Kluyveromyces lactis: one gene and its partners. The protein of the gene in region 2 purifies or fractionates together with the protein of the main gene of each other region. This does not show direct contact. Links are inferred from orthologs where the notes say so. Each region holds a gene or a part of one and is shown on either strand. Other genes may lie near its edges.

Region 1 (3,628 bases), on a different chromosome or scaffold from region 2:
ATTCATTATATGGATGATAAGCTGGATAAAGGAGGAGTGGTGATTAGTTTTATTGAAAGTGTTAGTAATGGGAACAAGACTGAACCTAAATAAATAGTTTCGGAAAAACATCGTAACGTACTGGTCATTGTGTCAGTTTTCTTTAGCTTCTGTTTATTGACTCCTTCTGCCGAAGATAACCCAGTTCTTGGTTATCCTCCATTGAATATCAGTTTTGCCATTCACAAAGCTCATATCCTCTCTTCAGAAGATTATGAATAAGTTACGCGTTTTCCCTTTCAAAGATTTGGTTCGTGTTTGGCAGGGTAATATAAATAAAGAATTAGTATGGCAGAAATCTTAGCACAGTATACAAGGACAAAGAATAATGCAAATATGTGGCAAGAAAGGATACTGTAACCAAGTTTAATTTCCTCTCGGCAGCAACATTAGGATGGAATTTGATGATTACAATAATATTTATATGTAAGTTAACTAAATAATGCTGAATAAGTTAATCTTTAATCTCTTCTCTTTCTCTTCTTATTCTTCAATCTTTCCTTTTCTTTAGAGGTTTGATGAGCTTCACCGTCGTTCAGAGGAATTGCTAATTCATCACCGGTGAGGCCTTCTTCGGTATTGAAAACTTTCTTTCTCCATTCCCTTAGTCGCCTGCTCTTAGTAACCTTTCTTCTATCCTTTGACGTCAGTTCTTTTGGTCTATATGGTGCAAACTTCTTCAAGCCGATAAACTCATTTAGATCGGCGTCATCAGCTGTGAATATTTCTCGCGTAGTCAATCCGAATGATTCTGGAGACACTTCACGGTATCTAAACTTAACTTCAGAATTTTTCTCTGTCGAACGTCCTCTTTCTTCTTCCACCTGCTCTATGATGTCTACCTTACGTTCGTCGACTGCTTTTTCTACCATCTCATGTAACTGCTTCTTATCTTTTTTTTTGTCTCTCTTCTCTTGTATCTTGTCCTTCTTTGATTTCTTCTTTTTTGGCTCTCCAGAGTCTGATGCCAAGGTCTCATCGTCTTCCGCATGATCCTCGGTTTCCTGTTCAGCATAAAACTCTCCCATGATATCGTCATTCTCATCCCATGTTGGTTTATCTTCCTGGTTGTAGAATTCGTCGTTAAAGATGGTACCGATGACTTCATCCCATTTCCCATCTTCGAAGTTTCCGTTTATTAAGGTATCGGTTAAGGCTTTGACATGCTCTTCTTTGATATCAGCACCATATTCTTTCTTTACTTGCTCTAAAACATCAGTAAGTTGGTTAACCTTTTCCTTCTTTTTCTTTTGGACTGCCTTTTGCTTCTCTTCTTCCTCTTTATCCTTAATAGCCTTTTCCTCATCTCTCTTTCTTCTACGAGATGAGGTTGCAGATCTTCTGAGTGTAGCTTGTGTACGTGCATAAGAAACAATTTCTGCAGCATTTGGATCCTCGTAACGGAAATTATAAGCATTTTCAAATTGCTCGACAGCATCGTCAAAGTCCTCATCTTCTTCGATGTCGGTACCACGACGGTCCAAATTAATCACTTTATCGCCTTTCTTTGGAATCCACGCCTGTTGGTTAACAAACTCCTCCAAAAACTTTTCGTCATCAACTTTTGGATTCGGTAATTTGACTTCGGATTCCCTTTTATTTTGTGGCTCCTTCTTCTTCAAGAAGCCGTCTTCTTCTTCGTCTCCTTCTTCTGCATCGTCATCGCCATTGAACGCATCCTTGATCTCACTCAAAAGTTGGTTTCTCTCTTCTCTTTGATGCGAAGCAAAAGACTGTTTACCATCCACCGTTTCAAATTCCAAATCCTCATCATCATCGGCATTAACGTTACCATTTAAAAGATTCATTCTATGATAATCTTTCAAATAGACGGGTTTATGTTTCTCAGTCTTTGCCAATTTTTCAACTGCCTTTTCGGGTTCTTCGAAAAATTTCACTCCCGGGTTCAATAGTTTATCAGTCTCATTATTTTTAATAGCATCTAAGACTTTTTGAATACCTTCTTCTACTTCTTCAGTGATCAATTCACCATAATCATCTTCTTCTTCTGAGGTCGAACTATCTTCATCGTCATCGTCTACTTCAGCAGGAACCTCTTTAGAAGCAGTGACATCATGCTTTGACCCAGTTTTCACACTTATGACCTCGGTATTCTTGCCTTCAACGTCGGTAGTTGGAACCTTCGTTGAACTGCCCTTCACTGCAACTGACTCTTGCTTCTTGATGGCTTCTCTAGCCTTCTTGGCAGCAGATTTCTTTCTAGGCATTTATGTATAAGAAACTTGGTTCACTTATGTTAAACTGTTCTTTGAGGAAAAATAATCAACAGGATACGATTGCCCAAGTTAAATAGCAATGAAAGCCTCCCTTGATGCTAATCTTTCCTCTTTCTCATTGATACAGATTCGATGAGATGCGATGGGCTTCAGTTTGTAAAACTTTCGCTCCATGGTTTTCGATCAGAACATGATGAAAAAGAAATTCAAACACGTGACCGCTAACGCAGAGAAACAGGTCCTGGTTATACCGTTTGTAGTCTGTGCGCGGACGTCTTTCGAAGGCGCAAGATGTAGGCAAGCCTCAAAAACGGTAATATGGGCTTCCCACAGATAATTGTTGGGTTTAGTACTCAGTTAGAAATCACACAATCGTCGTTTACTCACCTGCAAGCTGAATCTGCAACGTATTATTTGTATCTGCATGATATTCTCCCATATTATTTCATAGGAAAATAAAGGAAATCCAACAAGTGTGAGCTTTAAAGAAGAATATATTTAAAGGTACTAAAGTAAAAGTCAACGGGACTGCTGGCTCTATTTGTTGCTGAACATCTTGTTTTAACTTACAGGGTAAATACAACGGTTATTTTTTAGATTGAACAGCTTACACGCCTAATACAATGGACACCTCACATGAAAGACTGTTTCGTTTGCCCTTCAAGTTGCCAACTTCGGTATCGGCCAAAAAGGTGTGCGTTTATGTAGCTGGTGCCTTATACGGTGCGGGTCTCTGGTCCTTCTTAGATTGTGTGTTGTACTCCAAGCATGCAAATGGTTCAGATTTGCACATTTCATTTATTGACTGGGTGCCAATGCTATGCAGTGTGCTTGGGATGGCAATTGTGAGTTCTATCGAAAAAAATAGATTGCTACAAGACGCTTTATCCTCAGGAACGTTCACCGGATCTCAATCTACTGCATGGCAGGCCAGAGTAGTACTTTTCCTAGGATTTTCACTGTTAGCAAGCGGCATTTCCGGTTCTTTGGTCGTTTTGATTGTTAAGTTTTTATTGAAGGATTATACCTCCTATCCAACCTTAGGAATGGGAATTAACAATGTGCTTGCAAACCTGGCTATTCTTCTAAGTTGCACCATGTTATGGATTGGACAAAATGTGGAGGATGAATATAACTATTCATTGACTCTATGATGTGTCAATGAAACTTCGTGAAGTATCATATTGGATTGCCGTATTTAAGAACAGTGTACAGATATAGCCTTCTGCATGTATACGTATAAATACCTTCCCAATTTTAAAACGTATTAGAAACGGTCAATTATTCCTATGACTCAACAGCCCCTCTATGAGTTGTACATGTCTCATTTTATTATCTCTGGAACACAATTA
Region 2 (3,076 bases):
ATGATTGTTAATACTGGTAAAGTAAGAAACGGGACGTTTCATTGTGACACCTCGACTTCTGTTCACAATGTAACCATTTGCATAGATTTTAACCTTCATTTACCTTTTTATTGAGCAAATGACATCATGCAAATAAAAGACATACCAATCTGCAAGTTTCCCGACTTCTATTTGGTTCCGAACAATTGATGTCTGCCAAAAAAAAAAAAACTCCAAGTATTATTATCAAATCTTCTATCTACCTCATACATTTACCATTACTTTTTGCCATTACTTCAATTGAAGACGTAATGGTGTCTTCACACGCGCATAAATAATTTACAAATTTATATATACGAATACAATGATATACAACATCGACACAGGGTACAAAAAACAGTCGTGACGAAATACGTTTTTCAATGATTAAAAATATTCTACAGTGTACATAACCTAAATGATAAACTCTATGCAGTTTTGAAATTTCGATCGATGATATGAAGGACTTAGATTGTAGTCGTTTATTTCTTTGACTTCTTCTTCTTCTTCTCGGAAGACTCATCATCGTCAGCCTTTCTCTTCTTCTCCTTCTTCTCCTTCTTTTCCTTTTTCTCCTTCTTGTCCTTCTTCTCCTTCTTTTCCTTCTTGTCCTTCTTTTCTTCTGGTGTCTTTGATTCTTCCTTTGATTCTTCCTTCTGTTCGACTTCCTTCTTTTCTACTTCTTTGATCAGTGGTTTTTCTTCTGATTTGGATGCAGGGGCGGTAGTTGGTTCAGCATTCTCCAATGAAACGTAAGTCTTCTTCCAGGTCTCTGGAGTATTTTCGTTGGCACGGCCATATTTGTCTAGCTTACCGTCAGCCTTCATTTGTTTTTTCTTTTGGGCAATTGGACCAAGACCCCATCTTCTTGGATATAGGTCTCTTTCCATGATACATCTCTTAACCTTGGCAACAACTCCGTGGTCACAAGTAGCTAAATCGACAGTAGACATTTGAGCAATGGCAACTGCAATGGCCTCACCCTTGGTGGTGATTAATACAACTTCGTCATATAATTCAATACCTTCCTCATAACGAAGTAGACCTGGAATCATCAACTTGGCACCGTAACAAACAGCGTTAACAGCAGAATCTTTGACAACAATTCTTTTGTAACCGACTAATAGAGTTTCTAATGGTTGAATGATCTTTCTTAGGTAGGATTCATCCCTGGTGTTATCGTATACCCATTGTGCATCCATAACATCATGTAGGGTGACCAAGTTATCGTTTTCGGACAAAGCACCGGATCTAACACGACGCAACTCTTGCATATGGCCACCGACACCTAAAAGCATACCAAGATGGACACATAAAGTTCTCATATAAGTACCAGCTTCACAGGAAGCCCAGAAAACACCCAAGTTCCTCTTGTTGTCAAATTCGATCAAGTTGGAGTCATAAATGGTACGGACACGTAATTGACGCTTAACAGCAGAAATTAAAGGAGGTCTTTGGAACAAAGCACCAGTCAAATTTTCTAAACCTCTGCCCAATTCCTTCTCGTCCTTAAGGGCATCGTGCAATCTAACGATACAAACATACTCTTTACCAGCACCTTGTTGAGACTTGACCAATCTGGTAGCTCTGTCAACACAGACGATCAAACAACCAGTGACTTTAGGATCTAAAGTACCAGAATGACCTGTTTTTTCGCAACGCAAGATACGCTTGATCCAAGCAACAACTTCGTGAGAAGATGGGTTTGAAGGTTTGTCCAAATTGATGACACCAGAACTGATATATGACTTCAAATCTCTCTTCAAAGGAGAGGCACCAGCTGGAATTGGTGTGTAATGACCACTTCTGACTAATAGTTTGTCATAGTCCTTCAACAATAAAGGCCACTCACTAGTGTTACTAGATGGTGAAACACTCTCTGGCTTAATAACAAATTCGTCAGACATCGATCTCTATCTTACTTATTAGCTTTCTAACGAACAATCCAGTACACTATCTCCTTCAAATATCGAGAGAAAACAATAAAAGGATAGTAGCAACAATATCGTAAAGCAGAATCTACACTAAAGTGACAGTTTTTAGTCCAGTAAGATGAATCTACTTCTAATAGAACTCTATACTTTTCTTGTTAAAGCTCATCTCATCTCATCGTCTTCATCAAATTTTTTTCTTCAGGTAGAAAATTTTCAGATATCTCAAAAAGCAATTATTTCCGGGTAATGAATTATATTCACCTTGACGTTTAAGTATATATGACAGACATTGGAAATAGCATTGCCAAGTGAGAGTAGTTTTTATAGCCTTCTAGGAAGTGAGTTTGCATTTTTATTTAATGGACTAAACTAGCTGCTAATATGTTCATTATGTTAGGTTAAATTCTGTTAACTTAGTACGCTGTTTTCATTCAGATAGATTCCAAGTACTTGGCGTTATAGTTGTTCTTCAAAGCGCTAGCCCAGTTCCTAGTGGATAACTGTGCGATATTTGAAGTTGAATAATCTGTCTCAATTCCAGTTGAAAATATGGAATCTTCTTTGTCTGGCGATAGCTCTGATGTGTTTTGGTTTTGCTTCCACTCTCGGAGCTTTTGTATAATTTGTTTAGCGTTGTGTTTCGACCTTGAGGAACAGTTGCTATTCACATTGGCTACTTTAAGCTCACGGAGTGAATCATTAAAACCTTGTTTTTGTTCTGATATGTAGTGTAACTCTTCGTTTCTATTGTCTTTATTTTCTATGCCATCACTAACACTTGTAATGGTGATCGCAGGTTTGTATTCTGGTTTGGGCTTGTTGGAGACCATATTGTCTCTGATATTTTGGAACATATCTCTTTTCTTCATAAAATAATTCAAAGTCCGGTTTGTAGACCCGAATCTATCCACATTATTGCTGTATATGGCACTAAGCGCAGATTCTGCTTTAAGAGTAACTTTTAAGGCACTACTTAAAGTTTTCTCGTAATTAGTCCTGTAGCTTTGTAGTTCATTATGATACATGTCAGCATTTTTATCTATTTCACGTTTCATCGCTAACAACCTTTTTTGAAACTTCTCATTGAAAAATGCAAGGTCTTCCTTCTTCTTTTTGATAACCTC
Region 3 (3,877 bases), about 600 kb from region 2:
TCGTCTGGTCTGGTCCTTAATTAAAGAATCTGACAGGGTATGATTTATTGGATGATCTTTTGGTTCTATTAGTGGAGATGGCTCTAGTGCATCCTTGCCCGAATATACGGACCAAATCCCATACCCTGTAGTATTTACAGACGGCAGCCCTAGAGAAAGGTTTAATTCGTGTAATGACGTGGTTGGTTTCCTGCTAATTCTTTCCAACCTGATTGTCTTGGAATGTAGCTTTGAGAATGCCAGTAATATAAGTTGTGAGTGAGTATCAGACTGCAACGAGTGGAAGATAATCGAGTGTCCCGGCATAATAGCAAAGTAGAACGGTTTGTGTGTATTGATAATAAGGTCGCCAGTTGATTCGAACAACTGAACTCGGCATATGTACATACTTAAATCATCGTTTTCCTCAATGTTAACATCCAATTCGTAAAGTCGTTTAAACTGTTCGCGCATACCATTGATAAGCTCATTCGGCTCCACATTTACGATAAATTGCTTTCCATCTCTATCCAAACATCTGGACGCTACCCATTGGTTAGTTGAAGTGTCACATAAAACAGACCAGATATCCAGTTGTGATAACTGTTCTCGAGATAAAGAAGGCCACCAACTCGTGACAGCCATATTAGCAATATTCCGTACCCCATGTTTTTTCACCAATTCAACTAAATTATCCGAGACCAGCTGTGAATCATTAATGGCATGTGTATCAAGCCAGGTAGTGATCAGTTTCACTATTGCCTGTGCACCGAGCCTAGCAAGTTTATTCTTTGTAACTGTAATATCTACATTATTATTGTCATTTCGAAGCGTGCGTTCCATCTTGGCCGTCCCAATAATATGCTGTTCACCGTCCATATAACACCATCATAAAAAGAACATAAGGATTAAGGGTCATCAAACCTTTCCATAGTTTCAGATTATAGTCGATGTTAAAATTCCATGCATTTTATATAGTATTGATTCTGACAAGAAAGTGAGAACAATCAACTAAATTGGTCTAACTGTCGTATAAGATTGACAGAATATCTTCATAGAACCAGGAAAGTTGTATTGCATCGGAGAACAGAGGTATTGAACAGCCGTATATGCCAGGAATATCCACACGTGATCTGTTCATCTCTTTAAATCTTACAGCTTTTCAGTCCGCTTGATTTCTTTTTGTCAAAAAATTTTAAAGCTCATCTCATCTCATCGCCCAAGAACCATTAGTATTGATATCTAGTATATATATAGTAGAAGGTTAATGAACACATTTATATACTTATTTTGTTAGCGTCTACATCAAACGACGCAGATTTGTGCTTAATATATCTGTGATGAGTGATAAGAAAGTTATTAAGGATGAAGGTCTTGATCTGAAGACGTTATTTGTTCGTGGTGTGCCGTTTGAGTCTACCGATGAAGAATTCGGTAACTTCTTCTCCCAATTCTCTCCTATCAAGCATGCTGTTATTGTCAAAGATGGTGAGGGTGCAAGCAGAGGATTTGGTTTTGTTAGTTTTGCAGTTGAAGATGATACTAAGACTGCTTTGAATCAGGCTAGAAAGACGAAGTTTATGGGACGTTTGTTGAGAATCGATATTGCCAAAAGAAGAGAACGTTCCCGTGGTAAAAAGGATGCGGATGAGGTATCATCAGCACCTTCCGTAGATAATGTTAAAGATGAGGAGGAAAGCAAACCCGAAGATGATAATGATTTAATGAAGGGTAAACCGAAATTAATTATCAGAAATATGCCATGGTCCTGTCGTGATCCGACGAAACTGAAGAAAATCTTCGGATTGTACGGTACCGTTGTTGAAGCTACGATCCCAAGGAAGAGAGACGGTAGATTATGTGGGTTTGCTTTTGTTACAATGAACAGGATCTCTAACTGTAAGGCTGCTATAGAAGGCACTAAGGATTTGAAGATCGATGGCAGGAAAGTGGCTGTTGATTTTGCAATTCAAAAGAACAGATGGGAGGACTATAAGAACGAACATAAGGAACTGGAAGCGTCTGATGAAGATGAGGAAGAAGAAGAAGAAGATGATGATGATGATGAGGATGATGGTTCTGATTCGGGTGAAGAGGACGCTGACAATCAGGACGACAAAGAAAAAGAAGAAAAAAGTGACATCGTCTTGGATTCTGATGAAGAAATCAGCGAAGAGGAGGAAACACCAGAACAGGATACCGTAAAGAAGAACAGAAAGGAAGATTTCTCTATTTTTGTGCGTAATGTTCCATACGATGCCACTCAAGAATCCTTAGAACGTCATTTCGGCGTGTTCGGCCCAGTAAAATACGCTTTGCCAGTGATTGATAAAGAAACTGGTTTGGCGAAGGGTACTGCTTTCGTTGCATTCAGAAGCGAAGATGCTTACAACGACTGTCTAAATAATGCTCCTGCTACAGGAAGTACATCCCTTCTAATAAGTGATGATGTTTCCCCAGAGTATGTTTATGAGGGTCGTGTTCTTGCAATTTCTCCAACTCTTGATAGAGAATCTGCTGGAAGAATGTTTGAGAGAAATGCCGAGAAGAGAAAAGAAGTTCTTGGTAAGGCACCAGGTGAAAAGGACAGACGTAATCTATATTTGTTAAATGAAGGTAGAATTGTTGCAGGTTCAAAGCTTTCACAGTTGTTAACTCCTGCTGATATGGAAGTCAGAGAAAAATCTTACAAGTTAAGAGTCGAACAATTGAAGAAGAATCCAACGTTACATCTTTCGATGACTAGATTGGCTATCAGAAATATTCCAAGAGCAATGACTGAGAAGGGTCTAAAGGCGCTAGCTCGTAAAGCTGTAGTAGAGTTCGCCAAAGAAGTTAACGAAAACAAGAGACACGCATTGAATAAAGAAGAAATCGTCAGATCTACTAAGGAAAAGTACAAGTTCATGTCTGAAGAAGAAATCGAAGCTCAAAAGAAGAAGGACAAGAAACAAGGTATTGTTAGACAATCTAAAATTATCATGGAAATTAAAGGATCTAGCGGTGGTAGAAGTAGAGGGTATGGTTTTGTTGAATTCAGGGATCATAAAGCTGCGCTAATGTGTCTAAGATGGTTAAATGCTCATGAAGTCAGTAGGGACGAAATCTTAGAAGGACTTACGGATGATGAAAAGAAACAGCTTGATGCAGACAGTTTCAAAAAAAGAAGACTGGTGGTCGAATTTGCTATCGAAAACGCTAACGTTGTGAAGAGAAGAAGAGAAAAGGTCAAAGAATCTAGATTGATATCTTTCAAGAGAAAAAGAGATGATGAAGAGAATAAAGAAGAAGAAAAAGTGGCTCAACCAGTAGAAGAGGAAACAAAATCTGGTCTAAGTAATAATATTAAACAGATTATTGGATCTAAACGTAGAAGAAAGAACAAGGGCCGTTCTTGAATGTAAACAATAGTCAAAGGCAAAAATTCAAAGCATTCCGAAGCAATGAAGTTTCTAGGATATAAAATCTGTATATTAAATAACATGCATTTCAATTATAGAATCATTTTCTCTTTTTCCGTGCTGATCCTCCGGTTGCAGTATTGCTTGTGGGGTTGTTTCCATTACCAGACACAGCAGCTGCAGCGGCAGCTGCCGCTGCTGCTGCCAAGATACGTTTGTTTACACCTAATCCGTTCATGTTCCCATTCTTATTATTATTGTTACCATGCATTGGTTGTTTTTGAGAGTGATTAGCTTGATTATTATCATTGCCGACATTCGTAATGTCGTTATCGTTTGTGTGAATGCGCCTTGGTGGGTATTTGTAGTTGAGACCCTCGAACACATTTTCACAGACAGGAGGGTCGCCGTTGGTGAAATAGACATGGTCTAAAGCGTCGATTGCATCGATTCTCTTGATAGGATCATACTGCAATAGACGGTAAAGAATGTCTAAA
Region 4 (3,352 bases), about 640 kb from region 2:
ATAATTTCCCTACCGTTGATGCTTTAGTAGATGAAATGTCGAAATTACTTTGCTCGTACCCGTCACAGACAGAGTACTATGTATCGGAATGCTTAAAGCTTTGGAAACTTGACGAATGTACCACAACTCAAGGCGGGTTATATATTTAACGTGTCTTTAATCAAATATTGGGATTACACCCGTTCTGTTTTTTAGTGACGATAATTGTCTAGTATTCTAATTAAAATATGATTTGGGTGATATACAGATGTAATATGTAACAATGGTTAAATGATGAGTTGCATGTTTGTAGACACGAGGTTTTCCTTATTGTCTTAGGATACAAGTAGGAGCGTTAAAGGTGCAATTAAGAGCTTTATAATTATGAGAAACCGGAATGACTTAATAATGTAAAAGTGAAAAGTTAAATGTAAAGTGACGAGTTTAAACTGAAATATGATGAAAAAAAATAATAATAAAGTCGATCAATCTTCGGAAAATGATTGAAAAGTTGACACAACCTAATCCTTATTTTTCTTACTCTTCTTTTCCTTCTTATCCTTCTTCTCTTTCTTCTCTTTCTTTTCCTTCTTTTCCTTCTTTTCCTTCTTGTCCTTCTTGTCCTTCTTGTCCTTCTTAGACTTCTTTTCCTTCTTCTCTTCTTGTTCAGAGTCTTCTTCATCGTTAGATTCTTCTAGCTTTCTCTTCTTGGAGACTTCAGTCGTATCCACTTCTTCTTCGTGAGCTGGCTTATCTTTATTGTACAATTCGATGGCTTCCTTGATAGCAGATTCATTCTTCAAAGTTGGGGTACCAGAAGCATAGAATTCCAATCTTTGTTCAACTTGTTTCTTTAGCACTTGACCGAAAACGTTAGATGGTTCATCGGAGTAATTATCGATTCTAGAAGCCATAGAACATTTGTTAGCCAAATATCTAGAGATTCTACCCTTGTTCTTAGCACTAGCTTTAGCGATGAAACCACTGTGGTAAATCAAACCATACTTTGGTGTGTTACCTTTAGTCTTCAAAGCTCTGAACAATGCCTTTTCAGCACCCAAGATTTGGACAGTAGAGGCAGCTTGCTTAGAAAGATTGGTCAAAGAACCAGAATGAGAGATCAATCTAGCACCGATAACTTCACCGATCAATTCGGACAAGTTTGGAGCCACAGTGTGCATCTTCTCACATAGGTAATCGTATAATTGTTTCCTGTATTCAACAAGGGAGACAACTCTCTTAGCGAAGATGGTAACGTTTTCCATATCAGTTTCAGAAAGATCTTGACCCATAGAGATACGAGCGTTATCGATCACTCTTTCACTGATACCAGCATCGTTATCCAAAATTTCCGATAAATCGTGCAAGGATTCTTCGTTCAAAGATGCCTTATCCTTAATGAATAGAACGAGTTTAGCAAACTTGTAATTGTCTGGGACTAACTTTGCCAACTCTGGGAAATGCCAACCGTACCATTCCTTCACTCTCATGGCAAAAGTGTTGATATCCTTATCCAATTGATCCAAGAGAGCAATGGCTTGAATGATATGGTTATCGTTTTTCTGAACAGAGAACTTAACCTTAGCACGAGAGTAAGCATGACCCAAACCAAGTTGAGCTCTTTCCAAATCACCAGGTTGTAAATCTTTCAATAATTTGTCACCGTGTAATCTAACACCACGAATCAAATCCTGAGCTAACTCATTAGAAATACAATCAACAAATGGAAAAACTTCTTTAATGGATGGACCTAAGTTCTTATCAGAAATAGCCAAAGTAACAGTCTTCTTAGAAGAACCCTTTGGTAAATTTAAATCCAACAAAGCTTTCAAATGTTCAGAGACTAAACCTTCAGAAATATCATTAGCATTTTCCAAAGCTTGAGCAGCACCTTTGAAAGGAGCAAAAGAAACCAACTCAACTAACTTAGTGAAAGAGCCGAAATCATTGATCTGTTGCTGGACTTCCTTCAAACGAGATCCGATATCATCCTGTTGCAATTTCACTTTGAAGATACCATACCCGGTAGGTTCTTCGAACAAAAGATATTCAATAGGAGCCATTATTTAATTCTCTGATCAATAAAGTTTCCTCGCTACCGTAAAATCTCTTTGATCTGGACTCTTCAACACACACTAACTTCGGAATGAATGAACAAAACTCAAGATAATACAGACAAGTATTAATTGAAATATCGCTGTGCACATAACACAATATACAATATATTCACTGGTCAGAAAGCTCATCTCTCTTTATTGGCTTCGAAATGAAAATTTTCCAAACAAAAAAAAAAGAGCGATGAGCTTGAAAAAGAAAAGCAGAATGGGAAATATATTTTACTTACCCGGCCGCGGCCGGGTAAGTTATACACGTGATCGAATGTATTACCCGGATATAGAATAATTGACAAAATCACGTGACCTGGAATTTTCTTGTCTTTCCAAAAACAAAACAACGAAAGGAAACTCGAAATTGTATTCAATGAATTCAATTGACACTTGACTATCACTACTTTCAGAATGAATATAATTCCCTTGTTTTAGGTTTTATTTAGGCGTGATTTCTCTCCCCTGATATCAAGGGTCAAACGGTAACTTTATTGGTACATACGGATGGACGATCAGTTTTTGTTCCCGGACGAGAGTGATCCAATGAATTCTGGCGATGGCCAGCTTTTCGGTCAAGGAGGTTCGAACGGTGATGAGTACCTTTCCTTCCTTGATAACTCAGGCGCACCCAACCAGCAAGGTATACCTGATAGTAATTTAGGGCCGATGGAAGATGTTAACGCAGGCGTAACGCCCCAGGCTATATTGGCTAGAAATTCATTCTCAACTGTCAATTCACCTCCGTCGATGAAGAACGGTGGAGTCTCTATCTCTCCACAATCCATGTTTTCTCCAGCCGCAGGACCAATTCCTATGAATACAGCCAATGTAGCACCGACGCAGTCTCCCGCCGGCACTACTTCTTTACAGCAGATGTTATCGCAGCGTGGAACGCCGCAAAATGTGCCAAGTGGATCCCCTACAATGGCCGATGAGTCTTTAGCTCAGGCGAGTGCTAGTAGACAGAGCCCTCAGTATATGGATAGAGCCGCAATAATTGCTGCGCATCAACAGAGGCAACAGCAACAGCAACAAAAGCTACAGATGTTGCAACAACAGCAGGCATTCAACCAATTACAGCAGCAGAAACTAAGACAACAGCAGCAACAAGCACAGGCTCAAGCGCAGGCACAGGCTCAAGCACAAGCTCAAGCTCAAGCCCAAGCACAAGCACAAGCACAGGCTCAAGCTCAAGCCCAAGCTCAAGCGCACATACAAGCACAAGCGCAAGCACAGGCGAGAATGCAACAACATGCGCCTCAAGT
Region 5 (2,810 bases), on a different chromosome or scaffold from region 2:
ACAGTATTGTTTCAAAGATTCGAACATTTCACTTCGTTCAATGTCAGTTGTGAAGAGACGTATCGGCATTACTTTGAGCAGCGGAAAAACATGTTTTCGATCCAATATATCTGTTTCAGTCAGTTTTGACTCCTCGATTGATTCCCACGGGAGATCATCGTACCGTGACGGGAGTTTAAAGGGCTTTCGCAGAAGATCAACCACAAAAGATCCTTCTTCATTTACAGTCTCGATATTTCGATTCATTACAATGTATACTATCCCTGTAATTTGATTGCATGAATACTGTAAGGAATTGCAATGGCCCGGCTTGGTTCCAGGTCAATGAAAGTACTGCATTCGCTCGTCGTGATCATTGCTATTGTCATGATGCTTCTAAGATGTATCCATCCATCACTCAACCTTTTCTGATAATGGGAAAAAGGCGCCGAGCGGTAGTGATGATAATATCACGTGACCATTTCTTTTATTGAATGATAAAAAGTAGTTACACGCACTATTCAGCTATTTAGTTCATATTTAACACCCCAGGTATCGAGCATGGAACGTACTCTTTCCAGTAGCTCTTGGCTAGGTGGTAGGATCTCGTTTATTTTATTAGCTGTATCCTCTTCACTTTCGTCAGACTTTTTGGACATTTCTGTTTTGACATCTTTATCCTTGGACTCATCATCGGCGCTCTGTTTCTCTTGATCTTTGGATGCTTCTGTAGCTTCTCCCAGCACAATCTTAGCCATTTCCTCTTTCTGCTGCTCTAGATATTTATTTTGCTTCTCGATAACATCCAAACAACTTTCTTGTAGCTGAGCCTTCGAACCACCCTGTAAGTCCTGGAAATATCTCACTAATAGCGGGTTGAATGCTGATGGGATCTCATCAGTGATAACGAAATGTTTGATGAGCCAATTCTGTTTCTGTTTACTGAACTTCCATACATCTCTTACTACGTTTTTGTCAGCTAATTCCTCAGAGGGTGATATAATTGATACGTTTTCCTTTACACTAGGAAGCTCTTTCACGGCTTCCGGCAGCTCCACTTCCAACTTCAATGTATAGAAATCGATCAAATACCTCAATTGATCCTTCAACACAGTTTCCTTCTTCTTAAGTCTATCCTCTTTGGCCAATTTCTCTCTTTTCCTGTCTTTACTCTTTTTTGCAACTTTGTTGCCAGTGCTTTTACTATCCGCATTGCCACCTCTAATAATCCTTCTCTTCTCTTTCTTCGAAAGTGAACCGTTGGAAAGATGTGTAGACACAATGAGTGAGTCTAGCTCATCATCGATCTGATTCCCTTCCTCTGACTTCTTGATCTGGAACCTTTTCCAAGCAGGTACGTGTTCCGACATCTTAATATATTGTTTATTGCTGTGTTGCTATATTTCTATGATATTAACAGAGCCAGTAATAGTTTCTACAGTTCAGATATACTCTGTATACTATCTCATCTCATCTCATCTCATCTAAAGCTCTTCTTTTCACCAAATTTTCAGCTCAGTTTTTCAAAAAGAAATACTTTATTTACTATGGGAAAAAAGATTCAAATGGACTCAATGAACTTTGAACTCGTATGTACCACTTTATATTCTCATCTCGAATGATATTTTCTGACATATGATTTCGTTTTTAGTCTACCAATCATAAACTTATTGCTCGGCTGGGTCTCATCGTTTGGTTCAGACTACTGTGTTGGACTTGAGAGGATTTTCTTCTCTTGTTTTATTCAACGGTTAGTATTTCTGTCCTCGAGAATCATAATTGGGCCTGAGCATAGACTGAAATACCAAAATCAACAGTTTGAGTTGGGTCCCTACGATACTACTACGGGGACTTAATATAGAAGCTTGATTACATTCTTTTTATTATATTTAATGTGTTCTTAGAATTTCCCAATGTAGACCTCTCTCTATTCTTGTCCTTTCAATAGTTTTTTTCTCCACTAAGGAATAGCCTTTGTTTAAATCCCAAACAAAATGAAATCGTTCTTTCACATTAAATCTTGAACTCTTGAATGGAAACTCGGCAAGTATGGCAGACCAGTTCCTTCACGCTAGATAAAACATTGGCTGGTCGGAGTTGTGTTAAGAAAAAATTATGTTGAAACGGATTCTTGTACTTGATTTTGATGGCACTATCACCACTAGTGATACCACCAGTATCATTGGGCAATCTGTTTACAATTTGAAATCAGTACCTGTCGCATGGACTCATTATACCAAGATATACGAGGAATGCTATATTCCAAAACCAGAGAATTTGGCACCTGATGCTTGGAAAGTGGTTTGTGATTATGAACGTGCAAGCAGAAGGTGTGAGCTAAGTTCAATCAACGAACTAGAATTGCAGGATCATTTTAAAGATGTGGTGATCAAAGATCTCCTGCAGCTCGTTAAGGAAAAAGTAGATATCAGACCTGGATTACAGGAGCTGATGCAGCAGTATAACAAGACGTACGTGCTTTCGTTGAACTGGTCCAAGGACCTCATACACGACCTAACGGGTATTTCCAAATCGGATATCTACTGTAACGAATTAAAATCACGTGATGGGGAAGTTTACAGCGGACAATTTACAAAGCAAATATTGACCGGTTGGGACAAGTACGAGATGTTGAAAGAGATTTGCGATTTAGACAAAGTGCAAGGGGACCAGAGCATAACTTATATTGGAGATAGTTTTGGCGATTTGCCTTGTATTCTGGCAAAAGAAGTAGATGGATACATTATTGGCGATCGCTTGAAGCATTTGGATATAGATGTTCCTACTATTCAAAGGTTCGATGAGGTAAAATGTTAAACGGTCATAAGTTC
Region 6 (2,832 bases), on a different chromosome or scaffold from region 2:
ATGGTTGTTATTGATATATATAAGTTATATATAGTATGTGATAATAATAATAATATATCTACAAATTAAATGTACAAAATAAGGTTAAGAGTGTTCGAGTATTAATACCGTTATTGTGAAAATGGGTTCTTTTGTATTGTCAAGTTGATGAACAAGGTTTTGAAATCTTCTTCTATTCTTTTCCCGTCAGTTAGTCGATCTCCTTTGAACAGGCGAAGGACCTGGACTGTAAGTAAAAGAAACACACAGAGTGACAAAATACAAGTGAAGACGAAGTGGAGACTTTTCTAGTTTGTAGAACTTTATCACGAATCAATGAGATGCAAAATTTCAAATAATATTATAGTGTTAATGATTGTATTGGAATGAAGGTTTTTAAAACTAAAAAGTAAGCAAAAAAAGATTAGAAGCCAAAAAAAAAAGATTAATAGAAGGAATCATGAACCAAGTAGGCATACTCTAGCATTGGTTTCAAAATATCAATATTTCTTTAGCAGCTCTTATAATCCACTTCTCATGTATTTACCGATAACGATACAATGGTCTCTTTCATAAGGTTCCAAAGTCAATTGTTCCAAAGGCTTAATCTTTTCTTCTCTCAATTTTTGAACTTCTCTAGCGAACACAGTTTCAGCATCAACAGTAGAATCGATACAGTTAGCCTTGATAGAGATAACGACACCACCTTGATCCTTCAAGAACATATGAGAGTTCAAAGCAATAATACGGGCTTGATCAGGTTGAGCAACATCTGCGAAGACGGCGTCAACCATACCGATAAGCATTCTGTATTTTTGTGGATGTCTAGCATCTTCAATAATTGGGATAACATTTGGTCTCTTCTTAGCCATAGAGATCAATTCTCTACCTGGTCTGTGAGAGAACTCAACAGCGTAAACCAACCCTTCTGGACCAACGACATCGGAAACGTGGGACACAGATGTACCGGAAGCAGCACCTAGATATAGAACCTTCTTACCTGGAGCAATGAATAGTTCATCCAAACCACCCATGATACCGGCAGCCAATTTGGATCTGAAAGGATTCCAAACACGGTATTCCACCTTAGTTGGTGGGACACCTTCTTCAGTGGAAGGTTCTTCAACTGAAACTCTCTTTTCACCGTACACAGATTCACCTGGAGCGATGTTCTTTGTGACCAAAAGATCTTCTTTACCTCTGGCAATAAAAACACCAGCATGCTTATGAGGTTCGATAACAACCTTAGCACCACCACGGGCACCACCACGAGCACCACCACGAGCACCACCACGAGGACCACCTCTGGAACCACCACGGGCACCACCAAATCCACCTCTGGAACCACCGCGAGCGCCACCACGAGGACCACCACGACCACCACCGAATCCACCTCTGGAACCACCACGGGAACCACCGAATCCACCACGGCCACCGCCAAATCCACCTCTGGAACCACCTCTGGAACCACCGCCGAATCCACCACGGGAACCGCCTCTGCCACCTCTAGAACCTGCTTGGAATGCCATTATTATTCTTAACTAGTTGGGAATTATCTGTCTTGAGATATAATGATTATGCTGCTGTTGCTGCTCTTGATCTTCTTCTCTCTAAATTGGACAAAGGAAAAAAAAAGAATTAAAATTGTGAATCAGTAACAGGTATTGTCGTTGACTTTGAAACAGAATCCTGGACGGCTGTAAAACTCTTCTAAAATGGGTAGATTATAGGAACAGAAAACGTACACAATACTATTCTATAAACAATTGATTACTTCTTTCAAGCAAGAACAACTTAATAAACTCTTACTTTACATTCGATGAGATGAGCTTTCGAAACTTTTTTTTTTCAGCTGAAAAATTTTGAATGAAAAAACAATATTAAATTTCTTTTTCAAAGTTCTCATCTTTGGTCTTTCTGTGCCTCTTGGTACGTACAGAACGATGAACGTTAAAGTCACATGACTATTGTCACATCTGTATCACGTGATATGAATTGATTATATAATCATATGAATCTACAACTTTTCAAGATTTTTTTTTGCTATGTTGAGCCAGATACTTGCTACAATGCGTACGTTTACTAAGGATTTCTATACAAGTTTTTCATAGTCAACATTGCGAAAATATGCAGATGAGATCATTTTTGGTTGTTGTTGTGAATATCGGTATCTTTATAAAAGCAGATAAAAAATCAGAGAAGTGGAACCAGCTTTGACTTTTGTACGTTATAGCAATCAGAATCTGAATTAGTATATCTGGATAAATTTTCTGGTTTAGTTTTGAGATCCTATTTTCCAAACTATCGCTGTATATTTTAATCCGACAGTTGAAGATATTACCTAGATAAGTGTCCCTTTATGTCTGCATCCAGTTCAATTTTTATTAAATCACGCTCAAAGAGCTTAAAAGACGTCAAGTTGGAAGTTCCAACAGAAAATACGTTGACATATCAATCTGTTTTGCAACAGATTTCGAAAAGCAATCACAATATTAGCGTTAACAGGTTAAGGTTAAGCTATCTGAAAGAAGGTAAGCAAGTCGCCATTGGGCCCTCTGAATTGAACGATGTTGGTAAGAAAAACACGTTCGATTCAGTTAACGAGTGGTATGTTAAGGATTTGGGTCCGCAGATCTCTTGGAGACTGGTGTTTTTCATCGAATATTTGGGTCCGATCTTGATCCATTCTTTAGTTTACCTTTTGTCTTTAAACGCAACAGTTAGGGACAAATTTCATTCTAAAAATGTTCCATATAACGATTTCTTCAATAAGTTCATCTACCGTCTGATTATGGTCCATTATCTAAAGAGAGAATTCGAAACATTGTTCATTCATTCTTTCTCCCTGGAAAC
Region 7 (4,139 bases), on a different chromosome or scaffold from region 2:
CAGCGACTAGTATATCTGCTCTAATAGAGGGTAATTTCATACTTCCGTTGTTAGATTTTAGAGAAGAAATAGTGTTCAAAAGACAAGAGGACAGAGTTTCCTGAGCGTAAAGTACAGGCAAACCACCATCATGGTCTAAAGTTTCCAAGTCGGACAAAAGGTTGAATAAGGCATTCAATAGATTTTCGTTACTCTTTACCTTCAATTTATCCAAAGTCTCCAGAATAATAGTCATTTTCTTTAGGTGGGCTTCGGCAATTTGAGAAATATCTTGTTTCTGTAGGGCGGACTTGTTAACCGTAGACGATCTTCTTCTTCTACGTTTAGTCAAATCTGTTTGATCTTCGCTGTTTATGGTATTACTTTTCAACACAGAGACAAAAATATCTGCAGTTAATGGAAGACTTTGAAGGGTTTCTAGACCATCATATGATAGTTCTTTGTCAACTGAGGAGTCTATTATACTCTGAACAATTTTTAATTGGTTTGGGAATTTCAATGTTGGATACAAAGATAAAATTCTGTCTGCCATGATATTCGAAAGTTGTTCATATTCTGATTCCAAACAGTTAATCAAAAAATCTATCGCGAAACTGTTTTTTTCTTTTGGTGCAACAATGGCACATACCGCAGTTTCGAAGTCTTTGAAATTGGTTTTATTTTTGATGCACTTCGTTTCCCAGGAACTTCTTTCCGTGATGTATGTGGCCATAAATTGTTCGAACACCTTTGAATATGTAAAAGCATATTGTGGCACAGCGGTCAAGAGCTTTAACATTATAGTCTTCGAATAGGCGAGAGGAAGATGCAGTGCCTGGTTGCACCAAAACAGCATATATACCATGTCATTTTTGGATGGAATGACGAGGGATGAAATATCTGTACTTTCAACGATGTAATCGCTTAAAAAGTTGGTCAACCAAAACTTGCTATCTTTCGGACTTAACATTGGCACCTTTAAATTCTCTCCGTAGAGTACGTTAGATAGGAAATACTTTGCTGTGAAAGGTCTCTTGGCTATCTGTTGTAGAACCTTTTTCGTGTTGGAACGAACAGATCTAGAAATATCCATCAATGCTGTCACTAGAATAGGTACCAAAGAGAAAAGATCCGTTTGCTCATCTATACCATTGATGAATTTGCTTAACTGTGTTAGTGAAATCAATCTGAGAGCAACAGGCGAACCAGGGGATACGATGATTCTGAGCACAAACGTTATCCTGCTCTCTAAAGTAGTGAAGAAGGAGGATAAAAATAGACCTGGTTGATATCCTTTACTTACAGCTTCCACAAATAATGACAACAGCTTGACAAACTTTTCATCTTTAACAAGAAGCATAGACTCCGCTTTAGTGGAGATGAACTCTGAGTTTTTGGTCATGAAATCTTTAAATGGAACAGCTGAACCATTCGCGGTTGATGCTTTAGCATCATCTAGAACTTTAATGATATCTTCACCAGATTGTTCCGCACTGTTCTTGACGGAAAATAATGAAGTTGTCAATCTTATTTCGAAAACTTCTCCGGTCAGGTTTAGTGCTTGAAGACATTTCAAAACTAGTCCCTCGTTAATGGAAATGAAGTATTCAAAAACATCGATTAATTGTGACTTGTCCTCTAGAACTTCAGATAAATGTATCAAATCAGTGATGATAAATCTAACTTCGTATTTTTCCAACTTAATCTTCCTTAAGATTTTGACAATTTGACTCAATTTATCATGATCATATCTGATGACAGACCTAATGTATGCAGTGAAAAATTTATCTGAGGAATATTTGTTTTCATTACTCAGGAACTGTAGTAGATATTCGAATGGGAAAGAATTATCAACGAGTTTATAGATCTTGACCGGTAATTGATCCACATTACCTACACCTTTCAAGGTTTGGAAAAGTTTTGAGATTGTGACGAGAGCTTTTTTTCTAGCATCGTCTTCCTTTAAATTGGCCAAGATAGTTTCCGTAGCCGCAATGATAATGCTTTTGTTCAAAGGCAATGCGGTGGCAAGTACCGCGAGCATAGTATGAGCAGCCATTTGACAATCGCTTGAATCCGATGCCAAAAGTTTTGCGGAAATTTCCAAAATCAATGGGACCAATTTATTTAACTTATCTTCATCGTTCGCATTGAAAGCGATCACGTTAATGAAACAACATGTGGTAAATAGCAGTTGATTCGTATAGGTAACTTTTTGCTTGATAATCTTGGACAGATAATTTGAATAAAGCTTCAAGAAGTCCATATCGTTAAACAATTTGATCAACGTCAAATCGGTTGGATTCTTATCGTTTCTGACAAAATTGGTAAATGGGTTGAACAAAGGTGGTAGCTTAACGATATTGAGGATCCTTTTGAACACCGGCGTTTGGTATTGGTTCAAAGTAGATAGAAGAAGCATTTCGGCGTTATGGATATGAATTTGGAACCTACGAATCAACCATTCCGTAGCATGCAAAGCTGGAGTTAGATGCCATTTCGGCGAAATCAACATCAAATACGCATTAACTGCGTTATCCAAATCTCTAATCTGATCCTTTGTTTGAACGTTTCTATCAATGGTCACGGAAGATGCACTGAATAAGGAATTAGTGAAAACTTTGAACCTCAAGTCCAAACTCACCAAAGTATGAAACGATTCCAACGCTGTATCGTATATATACTCATAGTCCTGAGTAGCAGCAGTCTTCGGATTGTAAACCAAAGACGCAGAATGTAACTTTTGTCTTCTCTTTCTATCAAGAGCAACAGTAGCGTTATTCTGCGCTACCTGCGCTAATTGATCACGTAAAGATGACATTCTATATCGTCTCTGCCGTTGCCTGGAGTACTAGCAAGTCGAACCTGATCAAAAATCTATCGCCAGGAGATGATTGCAAAGCCAACGATTTGAACCTCATCTCATCTCATCTCATCGCTACTTTTTTTTTCTTTCACTCTTTAAAATTTTCGATTTGTTCATGCTGCGGTGAAAAGAAATTCATTTATGGTCACGTGTATGAAAATGGAGTGATACCATAAACTTGGGTCAAGTCTCCCCGTAGCTCAATATGCAAGCTACTGGTCAGTTTCCACCTGCTTTCGGATCTATTGAAGTACATACAGACTTAAGAGTTGTTTCAATACATCATGTGCCGTGCAAGGTCACACTACAAGTAATGGCTAGTTTCTGAGGAATTTCGGATCTCAGCCAACCGTATAAGCATGTTTGGCATAAACAAGGCTCATAGCAGCTATCTACTTAGCAATGCCTCAACGTTTCCATTTGAGGGTGTGTGTGAGTTGTGTGCGTTGGGCCTGCGTTCAGACTGGCTTTTCAGCAAAGGACCGGCTCATATAAGAACAAAAGAAAAACACACCTGGCTGGAGCGATGTGGTTATGCGGCGATGTCTCTGCGATTAAACTTAGATCCGAGATCTAGGCGGATGGTTCGTCCGAACCAATCTCAATGCAAAGGCTTGGGTGAACTGCAAAAATGTTTTCTTCTGGTAAACAAACTACTTTTTCGGAAGTTTGAGGCTGAGCACCTTCCTTACCTTAGTTTGCATTATGTAATTTACCGCATTATAAATTTTGTACCGTTTATTTTATATATAGGCAACGACAGGTTTAAGGAACCTTCTATCAAGATTGAATAGCGATGAGCTTAGGGGTTACAACTTGCGGAGAGATTGTTTATCCAAATAACGACATCAGTTATTGAGCCATTAATAATTCAGTCATGAAGTGTAGTACTTTGTTGTTATCTTTGGCTTTAGCTTTAGATTCCGTTTCTGCACGCGAAGGGTGCGATAAGAAATTGAGAGAGTCCTCTCATAAGGAGAAAGAGTTCAACCTAACTCGTGAATACGCTGCTGAGGTTGCTAGAGGTGTTGTTAAGTATGGTGACTTGGTTCATGTTTCTACTTTGAAGGATGGAAAGACTCCGGTGACTTTCCCAGAATACTATGTATCTTCTGATTTATGTGAGGGTGTGAATTCCACAGGTAACCCAATCTTGGTCTTGATGAACGTTTCCTCCACTTTGAGAAACTATCAGGATAACGGCAAGCTTTCTATTACCGTGGAGGACAGAAGGCCCAGACATCACGCTATGAGTTCTCCTCGTGCCAATCTTTTCGGTTCGTTGAAGAAACTT

The links.
Region 1: the proteins of CBF5 (region 2) and KRI1 purify together in Saccharomyces cerevisiae (affinity purification with mass spectrometry; 3 studies listed by BioGRID). This does not show direct contact. The link is inferred for Kluyveromyces lactis from reciprocal best matches to the Saccharomyces cerevisiae genes CBF5 and KRI1.
Region 3: the proteins of CBF5 (region 2) and NOP4 purify together in Saccharomyces cerevisiae (affinity purification with mass spectrometry, with the first as the bait; 3 studies listed by BioGRID). This does not show direct contact. The link is inferred for Kluyveromyces lactis from reciprocal best matches to the Saccharomyces cerevisiae genes CBF5 and NOP4.
Region 4: the proteins of CBF5 (region 2) and NOP56 purify together in Saccharomyces cerevisiae (affinity purification with mass spectrometry; 6 studies listed by BioGRID). This does not show direct contact. The link is inferred for Kluyveromyces lactis from reciprocal best matches to the Saccharomyces cerevisiae genes CBF5 and NOP56.
Region 5: the proteins of CBF5 (region 2) and RBP95 purify together in Saccharomyces cerevisiae (affinity purification with mass spectrometry; 3 studies listed by BioGRID). This does not show direct contact. The link is inferred for Kluyveromyces lactis from reciprocal best matches to the Saccharomyces cerevisiae genes CBF5 and RBP95.
Region 6: the proteins of CBF5 (region 2) and NOP1 purify together in Saccharomyces cerevisiae (affinity purification with mass spectrometry; 5 studies listed by BioGRID, with this or other methods). This does not show direct contact. The link is inferred for Kluyveromyces lactis from reciprocal best matches to the Saccharomyces cerevisiae genes CBF5 and NOP1.
Region 7: the proteins of CBF5 (region 2) and UTP10 purify together in Saccharomyces cerevisiae (affinity purification with mass spectrometry; 3 studies listed by BioGRID). This does not show direct contact. The link is inferred for Kluyveromyces lactis from reciprocal best matches to the Saccharomyces cerevisiae genes CBF5 and UTP10.

Annotation. Positions count from the first base shown.
Region 1 is NC_006041.1:668,701-672,328, forward strand, and holds KRI1 (Kri1p), read right to left. Parts: upstream 2,268-3,628; coding exon 501-2,267; downstream 1-500. Other genes in the region: VPS68 (Vps68p), read left to right, coding at 2,900-3,430. UniProt on the Saccharomyces cerevisiae protein: Required for 40S ribosome biogenesis. Involved in nucleolar processing of pre-18S ribosomal RNA.
Region 2 is NC_006040.1:408,154-411,229, reverse strand, and holds CBF5 (pseudouridine synthase CBF5), read right to left. Parts: upstream 1,926-3,076; coding exon 501-1,925; downstream 1-500. Other genes in the region: KLLA0_D04774g (uncharacterized protein), read right to left, coding at 2,384-3,076. UniProt on the Saccharomyces cerevisiae protein: Catalytic subunit of H/ACA small nucleolar ribonucleoprotein (H/ACA snoRNP) complex, which catalyzes pseudouridylation of rRNA. This involves the isomerization of uridine such that the ribose is subsequently attached to C5, instead of the normal N1.
Region 3 is NC_006040.1:1,003,760-1,007,636, forward strand, and holds NOP4 (mRNA-binding ribosome biosynthesis protein NOP4), read left to right. Parts: upstream 1-1,319; coding exon 1,320-3,377; downstream 3,378-3,877. Other genes in the region: CHL4 (Chl4p), read right to left, coding at 1-858; cyclin-dependent serine/threonine protein kinase SSN3, read right to left, coding at 3,481-3,877. UniProt on the Saccharomyces cerevisiae protein: Required for 60S ribosomal subunit synthesis. Probably involved in the processing of 27S rRNA to produce mature 25S rRNA.
Region 4 is NC_006040.1:1,043,767-1,047,118, reverse strand, and holds NOP56 (snoRNP complex protein NOP56), read right to left. Parts: upstream 2,043-3,352; coding exon 501-2,042; downstream 1-500. Other genes in the region: PBA1 (Pba1p), read left to right, coding at 1-149; SWI1 (Swi1p), read left to right, coding at 2,592-3,352. UniProt on the Saccharomyces cerevisiae protein: Required for 60S ribosomal subunit synthesis.
Region 5 is NC_006037.1:956,778-959,587, reverse strand, and holds RBP95 (RNA-binding ribosome assembly factor RBP95), read right to left. Parts: upstream 1,350-2,810; coding exon 501-1,349; downstream 1-500. Other genes in the region: KLLA0_A11088g (uncharacterized protein), read right to left, coding at 1-246; CTO1 (Cto1p), read left to right, coding at 2,095-2,796; POL4 (DNA-directed DNA polymerase IV), read left to right, coding at 2,790-2,810.
Region 6 is NC_006039.1:400,097-402,928, reverse strand, and holds NOP1 (rRNA methyltransferase NOP1), read right to left. Parts: upstream 1,509-2,832; coding exon 501-1,508; downstream 1-500. Other genes in the region: trans-2-enoyl-CoA reductase (NADPH) TSC13, read left to right, coding at 2,339-2,832.
Region 7 is NC_006042.1:1,973,864-1,978,002, reverse strand, and holds the start of UTP10 (snoRNA-binding rRNA-processing protein UTP10), read right to left. Parts: upstream 2,801-4,139; coding exon 1-2,800. Other genes in the region: KLLA0_F21164g (uncharacterized protein), read left to right, coding at 3,723-4,139. UniProt on the Saccharomyces cerevisiae protein: Involved in nucleolar processing of pre-18S ribosomal RNA. Required for optimal pre-ribosomal RNA transcription by RNA polymerase I together with a subset of U3 proteins required for transcription (t-UTPs). Involved in ribosome biosynthesis.